2 linked regions of the Oryzias latipes genome follow. The protein of the gene in region 1 binds, or shares a complex with, the protein of each later gene. Links are inferred from orthologs where the notes say so. Each region holds a gene or a part of one and is shown on either strand. Other genes may lie near its edges. The genes, in order: prpf40a and sf1.

Region 1 (3,819 bases):
ATTGGGATTGCTATTTTTTTATACTGATTGACTTTAAAATACTTATGCATGTTTTTATGAAAGGAATGATATTTGTCCTCATGTAATTACAATGCTAACTTTAAGTTAGTTTGTTTCTATACTGCTTTGCTTTAAATATTTTCTTTGGCAGGTCAATAAACTTGAGGATTTAGATTTATTGGTTTTTCCTAAATAATTGACTCTTAAGGGACTTTCCAAAAGTACAAGTTATGAGTTCTGACTGTGTTTTGTTTCTTTTTCTTAACAGTCTTCAACAGAAGCTAACAATGGTCCGAGCCAAGCACCAGCTTATCCGGCTGTACCACCCTCAACAATACCTCCTCCATATGTGAGTGATGGATAATTTTCAAAAATATGTTTTTGTCTTTTTTATTTCTCTGTTGTATTTGGAGTAAATAAGAATTATGTTTGTCTTTTTTTCTCTTTCGCTTCACCAGATGGGACCGCCAGGAATACCACCTCATTTTGCTCCGATGGGAATGCCCCCTATGGGTCAGCGACCTAGCATGACTCCTATGCCTCCTGGTATAATGCCCCCTGGCATAATGCCTCCTATGGCAGCCCCACCATTGGGACAGGTATGATTGTATGACATTTGTACCGCCCATGCAGCTTCTTCTGCAATGTGTTGCAAGAAGTTGGATGCCGTTATTTATTCATGTTATTCAGCTTATGGTTGCATTAATGCTGTGACTAAAGTTACATTTGAGAGCATAGCTTTGTAAAACTAAGATGCTAACAGAAATATAGTTAATGACGATAATAAATATCAAAAGATACAAATAGATTAATTAAATGAAAGCAAAGATTAAATCGACCTTGCCAGAAAAATTTCAAATGAACCATAAAAATCTGTATGTGAAGATGAATGCGATCTGATTGTTTTGGGTTTTTTTTTTTTCAATAAAAACATGGTATTGTGATTGAAACACTTCAGATCACTTTTCAGAATTGAATTAATGTTTTTTTTTTCCCCACAGCCGTCACAAATGTATTTGGGTTTTAAAAGATTTTTAGAAAGAAGTTTATGCCAAGTGACATACCTACAGATCTGAAAGGAGCTGTTTGTTCACAGAGCATAAGCTGTGGTTGGATTTATTTAGACAAGCTTGCTATACTTGGCTTCAAAGTTTCTTTTCTCCTCATTGAAAATCAAGCCTTTTACACGGTCATGCTTTCTCATTCAGAGTGTTATTGCTTAGGCCTGCACTTGCTAGTATGGAAATGCAAAATTAATATTTCATGATGCTCCTTTTATTAGATGCCAGGCATGTTGCCACCTATGTTACCAGGGATGATGATGGCTCCTCGCATCCCAGCTGCGACTGTACAGCCAACGGGACCGGTAATTTTCACAATCTTTTTTCCTCTTTTTATTAAACATACTGTAAAAAAACATGGCTATTTTTCAAATTCAAGAATATCTTCTTAAATAAATTCCAAAAAAATGGTTATATTCCATAACGTTGAAATGTGTAGTTGAAGTTAAAACTGCATGAAAGTCTCGAGTTGTTTTCAGTTGTAGAGTAAGAAGGTGTTTTATCGGTTTTATGTAATGGGTCAAATGGATTTTGGAACTTGAGGACATTTTTGAAAAGCATGAATTTGTTTTTGCTTTCCTAGAGCGTTAACACTAGTCTAAAAACCTTTTTTGTTTCATTTCTATCACTTGTACTTAATGTTTCTTATTTTTAAATGGTGACTAATTCTGTGATTTTTATTTTTCAGCCTGGTGTTGATACAACAGGTACAATCCTTAATGATATCTTTATGATTAATTTACTTCACTGCTGTTATGTGCATTTCAAGCCTATGCTCTCTTTTTGTGTTGATTTTGACAGTTGCTGCACCGGGAACAACTGTAAGTGGATTCAGCGTCTACTTTCATACAATTGACTAACTTCCTGTTTATATTTCATCTTGTTTCTGAATTTATTTTTGTTGCTTTGTTCTAGCAGAACACCACAAATGGAGCTTCACAGGAAGAGCAACCAAAGAAGGTTGGTTCACATTTCAAAACAAAAGTCTTTACCTTGGCTCTAACAAAAATGTTGCATTAACACGGAAAGGGACGCTTTAACGTTGTTGTGTTTTCTGCTTTAGAAGTCTGTTTGGACAGAACATAAATCCCTGGATGGGAAAACGTATTATTACAACACCGAGACCAAACAGTCCACATGGGAGAAACCTGACGATCTCAAATCTCCTGCAGAGGTACAAAAACGCTCATGTCACGATGCTCGAGGGAACTGGGCAGCTTAGCTTACTGCTCATAGTACTGTCCCAAGTTAATATAGTCAGAATCTGTTTATAAAATGCTATTAATGTGCATAAGATAATTTCTTTTCTTTTAAAAAGAGGTTTTATACCAGAATCAAACTTCACTGAATTTTATCCTCTGTAGCAACTTTTGTCTAAATGCCACTGGAAGGAGTACAAGTCCGACACAGGAAAGCCATATTACTACAATTCTCAAACGAAGGAATCCAGATGGACCAAACCCAAAGAGCTGGAGGACCTCGAAGGTAAACAGTTGTCGTTTCCTCAGCCTTTTGTGTGAGAATAAAGCAAATCCAAACCATGGATGTTTAGTGAATGACACTTTTCATAAGCTGCATTTTGACTCGCTACACGATCAAATGCAGGAACACATTGATTCCTTAAGTGAGATCATGTCGGTGTTCGTCTCTTATGAGAGCCGAACCCTCACAGTAAACCCATTTTCTCTCTTCCAGCTATGATCAAAGCAGAGGAGAACGGGTAAGTTTCTCAATTTTCCCTGGGTTACTTTCTACACCTTTTTTTTTACTTCCGATATGTTTCAAAAGTCATCATCCCAAATGTGTCATTTTCTTGGTAATCATAAAAGCATCTGTGGTAGTAAAAGAGCTTTTTATATATATATATATTTATATTTCAGAACAGCAGAGACGGCGGCTGTGACCCCAGGAACTGCTGCTACCCCCACAGTGCAGGCAGACAACACTGCTACGTTGGCTGCAGTGACGGAGGTGGAAACAACAACCGCTGTAGCTACGGCAGCAGCGGCTGCTGCAGCAGCAGTCGTCTCAGAGGAGCTACCGTCCCAGGTGTCCGTGCATCCAGCAGCTGAGGTTAAGACCACAGATGCACCTGTGGTTTCCACCGAGAGTTCAGCTGTGACAGAGAACACAGCAAGGTAAAACATTACAGGCCCTAATATTTGAAAGAAAAAGTTCCATTTCTATGTTTTTCAGCCCTGAACTGTTAAAAGTCTTTAGGATTGTATCCGAACAAATGATTTCTGTGCACCACAGGTACATCAAAATGAGTAAAGGAAGTTATTCATTTTTATTGTAAAACTTTTTCCTATTATTGACAGATGCGACAGATTGCTAAGCTTTTAAAATGATGGTTAGTTTTGAAGCAGTTAAGTGCAGAAATGTTAACTGAGCTAGACTGGAAGTTATTACAAGTGATGATAAATAAATAAGTCATTGACATTCACATTAAAGGCAGTTTTATTTATGTTGATCCCAATTTGCATTAGCAAGCAGCAGTTTGACAAAGAAAGATGCCTTTCCATTACTTCAAATAGTATTTTGGGGTGGTAAAGTTGAGCCTTTAGTGTCTGTTGTTTTTTTTTTTTTTTTTACAAACTCTTACTTACCGTTATGTGTTTTTAAAAAATTAAATCTTTTAACTTATTTGTATTTTGTATTTTGCTGCATCCGTTTCAGATCTCCAGTCAAATCATAACTGGTCATATTTTAAATTGTGAACTAACCTTTTAGCAAAGCATAATCCAAATAGTGAAAA
Region 2 (4,510 bases), on another chromosome or scaffold:
TCAACAGCCTCTCAACGAGCTGTTCCCACTATTCAGTCAATCCAGTTTCCCACAAAGACTCTGATCAAAGAGCAAATCTAAGCGTCGCTTGTGTTTCTGTTCACCTGAAGCTCCTCCGATGCTGGTCAGGGGCACCAGTCACTATAATATAACATATCAAAAAAGCTTTGGCGGCGTGTTCACGCTCACTTTTGACTTGTGTTACGTGTTCAATAAAGCCACAGGGAACAGAAGCATTAAGGGTCTCTCTTTGAAATACCCCTTAGACCAAGTTATGCTAGGGTGAACCCCCCCCCAGAAAACCAAAATTATTGAATAACCAATTTTTGTTACAACATTGCAATGTTTTCATGCACAGAAACGACACTGATGATGTGCTGAGGATCAAGCAAGACACTGGGCAGTGACCTGGATCTCAGAATAGATATCAGCAGGCAGTGAGGTTGGGATATCAAAAACCCATCTTGCTAATGGGAGCCCAATGGTATGCAAACAAAGAGACTACAGGACACAGCAGCACCACTTAAAGAGAATCCAACGCTTCAACATGTTATAATCATTGGTCATTAAACATGACAGCTTCATCTCAACAGTTGGAACAGAATCCGATTTCTCACACTTTGATAATGTTGTGGAAAAAAGATTAAAATTGGTTTAAAAACAAAAAAAGGTAGGAATTCTGTAGAAGTCTGCGGAAAGCTCCAACTGTTGAGAATTTAGCAAAACAACATAAACACTGGTATGCACTTGCATAAAATCCAAACCTTAACAAAATACATCGGATGAAATGTGAGAGAAAATGGCATTTATAGCATTAAAAGCCAACCTTAGCTGAATAAAGCAACATTTACCTATGTAAGCTCTCTCTTGATCCCGGGTGAGTCCAGGAGGAATGACGGTAGGCATTCCGGGAATGATCGTCTTCTGATCGGGGGTTTCACTGCTCCATCTGCTTTTCTTTCTTTTCTTTCCGAAATCTGCACAAAATGGGGGTAAAGTTGTTGTTTTTTTAGATGACATCATCCAAAGCTAAAGGCAAAAGTCAAGCATCACCATGAAAACAATGACAGTGGAAACGATTTGTATTGTTGTTTTTTTTAAACAAGCATTACGTCATCCTTTAACAGGTACACTGTAATATAAAAAAAAATGTTTTCTACAAACACAGAAATTACAAATATTGCAGTAAGAAACGATCAGAGTATTCAGGCAAATCTGGAAAGAGATAATCCAGCAACAACACCAACTTCCAGTTATTATGAAATAATCTACCCTCAGCAAAAAGTAGTTTATTTAAGTATACTACAAGTATATTTGGTCTATACTGAAAGTCAGGCAGTATACATGAATTTCACTTTTACATGTCATCTATAATGTAAACTTAAAATGTTCCAATTCAGTCTGAAGCAGTATTTAGTTACCAGTAGTAAACTTCCTACACTTCATATACATGTCCAAAGTCTGGTTCATGGGCCAAAGGTGGCCAACTCACAGTTCCTCAAGGACCAAGGACACATATGAAGAATATTAACATTAAAGCTGCTTTTCTATTACTTCTTAAGTCAAATCATTGTGAATCGGGAGCAGACAAAAAACGCAGTTGGGAAAAGCCTGTAGCGGTGATGTAGGTGCTATAGTCTTCTTGCTCCGCCCCTTCTTGATCATCCACTGTCAGACAAATAGATCCATGAACGTCTTTGTTTTCCTGAGCTGGAATCTGGATCTAAACTGTACGGCTGGATAGCTACGATGTTGCTGCTGCTTTTGTTTCACTGCTAATGTTAGCTTGGTGATGTGAGGGGCTGTAAGCCAGCGGGAGAGAAGGAGGGTAAGTTCCAATCCAACACTCCCACAACTCAGAGGTGATTTGTAATGAACTCCTAACTGTGGCTCTTCAGAAACTAGGTTCTAGAAAACAACACAGGTTTCTAGATTTGGAATAAAATCATCATCATCATCATAATTAAGAGACCACTGAGAAAGCTTTAACGATAGATCGAAAGAGGATCGGAGCGGGACTTTAATAAATGAACTTTTTGTTAAAGGTCTACAAGGCTGGCCATAGTTTAGTGACCAGATAGCGACACGCATGCGCGTTGCTGCATTACGTTTTAAACCAGTAACTTTCAATAGAGAACACATTAAATAACGGCATAAAACAAATGTGTGTAAATACTATTTTTAAGTTAATGGCCTTCCTTAATTAATAATTTATACTTTTTCTCCAAGTTTCTTTTGCTGCTTTTTAACGATTTTCTTGTTGTTTTTTGACTCAAACTCTCGGTTTTTTTCGTGTGCAAAGGTTTGATTTTAGACTCGAATCTCTGGGAGAACACGGATGTTTCTAGAAGAACTTTATATTCGAACAAAACTGGCAACGACGGAGAGGTCAACAATAAATTCCAATCCGTGGCACTGCCAGCCCGTCCCGGTTCCATTACGGCATCAAAGTTCGTCTTTACTGGTCCAAACCCGGGTCGTAGCTACCGCTTCGCTCCTGCGCAGGAGCGGGACGCTCGCCTCGTGGCTCGTCCTGTCTGGTCCGAGCTGTTTACAAACCAGCGACGGCCTCCATTTCGTGAAGCGGCGCTGGCTGCGGGCCTTCGTTCGTTCCACCGTACCGCCTGACAAACGTTAGCAGCCCCCCCGGCTTTCGGTCCACTTACCACTCTTGCTCATCCCGGACACGGCGGCTGGTTGAGCGGGGGTCTGAAAATTGCCGACTGGATTGAACTGGGCAAATGGGGCGCTCGGCATCGCGGGCTGGAAGCCCGGCATCGCGGGGAAGGAGGCGGTCGGCCCCGGCGCGGGCATCAGCCCATTGCCCGCACCAGGCCCCGCATCAAATCCCCGTTTAGCGCCGATGCTGGGGTGCAGTTTCCCCAGAGGAGTGGCGTTCGCTCCAGTCGCCATTACCGCAGCACCGAAATGGCTTCTTCTCCGTTCAGCTTCAGTTCAATCCGGACTTCTATTCAAGGCTAAATGACAAAGCAACATCTACCTGCAGTCTACCTCAAAATGGCGGCTAACAGAATATTACAAAGGTTGAACCGCGGGGAAGAGCAATCCAACAAGAAGAATTCCTATTGGCTGAGCTCAATTCTGTACTCTAAAAGACGATTGGCCAATTCGGTCTTCAGTCTGATGACGTCAAATAGGCTAACGAGTGTAAAAAGGTCCATTTTCTGTGCAATCAATCTGTAACGTTCCTGTCAAAGAAACAGAAACTTTAACAGACTTAAGCATTATTATTTCCAAAAATAGTATAGACAGATTCTTATTTAATTATGCCCCCTTAATTGATAAATCCAGGGGTCCCCAAACTTTTTCCAGTGAGGGCCCCTTGACGTTTCCATCCTCTGATCGGGGGCCAGGGTCCGTTTGAAACAGAAAAAGTGTGACAGTCGCAGGGTTTCCTAAATGTAAATATTTATTGTTTCCCAGAAAGCCACTTATAACCCGATCTGATATCAAATAATTCTCTCTGGGTTCTTCAGGAAAAAAAAGAAAATAATAATAATCAGCAAACATATAATAACTTAATAGATATTATAGCTTTGAGAGTTGCAAGCTCTCATATTTCTCTTTTTGACGGGATTCATAATGTCGTCATAGATTGTCTTCTTTGAATACCGCCACCGTCTATTAGCAGATGATACAAACAGCATTTTCTTTATGTTGAACAAAAAAAAAAACTTGTTTGTCCTCCACAGTGGACACCAGTGAAGATCACAAATCATTGAAGAAAAAAGGTTCAGAGCACTGTCTAGTGGGTCTAGATGACCCAACTCCCAATGTTAAAGTGCCTAGGATAGAACAAGGGTTACATCATACTTTTAACATAAAAAGGATTAAATAATACTTTAAAAAAATCCACTCTCAATCTGGAATATTTTCCCTCATCTCATGTTTGCTAATGTTGGTTTTCTCCATTTTCTTCTCCTCTTTAGTTATAATATTGACAAATACCAGTTAAACTCTTTGCTTTTTACAGACAGATTCTTCTTTCTTATTTATAAACACTATTTTTCCCCTCATAACCTTTCTATTTGGAATAACAGATATATTCTTTACAAGAACAAATCTTTATTTTACAATCATTGGTTTAATAATAATATTCTACTGGTGGGTCAGCTTTTTAACCACAATGGTCAATCACTCAGAAAGAAAGAATTTAACCTTAAATGTTGCCCTGCTGTTCCTCCAACAGAGTACGCCATTGTTTTTGATGCTGTTAATGAAATCTGTCAGCTCTTTAAAAATACGGAACTTGATGAAAATATCTCCTAATAATGACACTAATGTTGGAAAATCCTGTTTCAGCTTTGCCCTTAAGATAAAAAAAGTCATGCTGTTTCAGCAAAATGTCATTTCTGTTCCCTCTGCTGCGTTCTAGTGGGGAAATATTTATTCCAGACTAAAATATGTGGACTCTGGATCAGGAATTATTAATCAATAACACGATGAGAGACGTCTCCTACAAACATCTACATAGAATCTCTTCCACTAA

What was found.
Region 2: the proteins of prpf40a (region 1) and sf1 are in contact, whole or in part, in an NMR structure (PDB 8PXX), measured with the Homo sapiens proteins. The link is inferred for Oryzias latipes from reciprocal best matches to the Homo sapiens genes PRPF40A and SF1. Residues at the interface, in NP_001352526.1 of Homo sapiens: His164, Ser166, Tyr172, Tyr174, Ser181, Thr182, Trp183, Tyr213, Tyr215, Ser222, Arg223, Trp224; in NP_004621.2 of Homo sapiens: Pro575, Pro576, Leu577, Pro578, Pro579, Gly580, Ala581, Pro582, Pro586, Pro587, Pro588, Pro589, Pro590.

The regions. Positions count from the first base shown.
Region 1 is NC_019879.2:20,295,165-20,298,983, reverse strand, and holds part of prpf40a (pre-mRNA-processing factor 40 homolog A), read left to right. Parts: intron 1-268; coding exon 269-349; intron 350-458; coding exon 459-599; intron 600-1,282; coding exon 1,283-1,366; intron 1,367-1,749; coding exon 1,750-1,768; intron 1,769-1,862; coding exon 1,863-1,882; intron 1,883-1,976; coding exon 1,977-2,021; intron 2,022-2,124; coding exon 2,125-2,235; intron 2,236-2,425; coding exon 2,426-2,546; intron 2,547-2,756; coding exon 2,757-2,781; intron 2,782-2,941; coding exon 2,942-3,199; intron 3,200-3,819.
Region 2 is NC_019876.2:29,175,214-29,179,723, reverse strand, and holds the start of sf1 (splicing factor 1), read right to left. Parts: upstream 3,065-4,510; 5' UTR 2,914-3,064; coding exon 2,667-2,913; intron 978-2,666; coding exon 852-977; intron 1-851. UniProt on the Homo sapiens protein: Necessary for the ATP-dependent first step of spliceosome assembly. Binds to the intron branch point sequence (BPS) 5'-UACUAAC-3' of the pre-mRNA. May act as transcription repressor.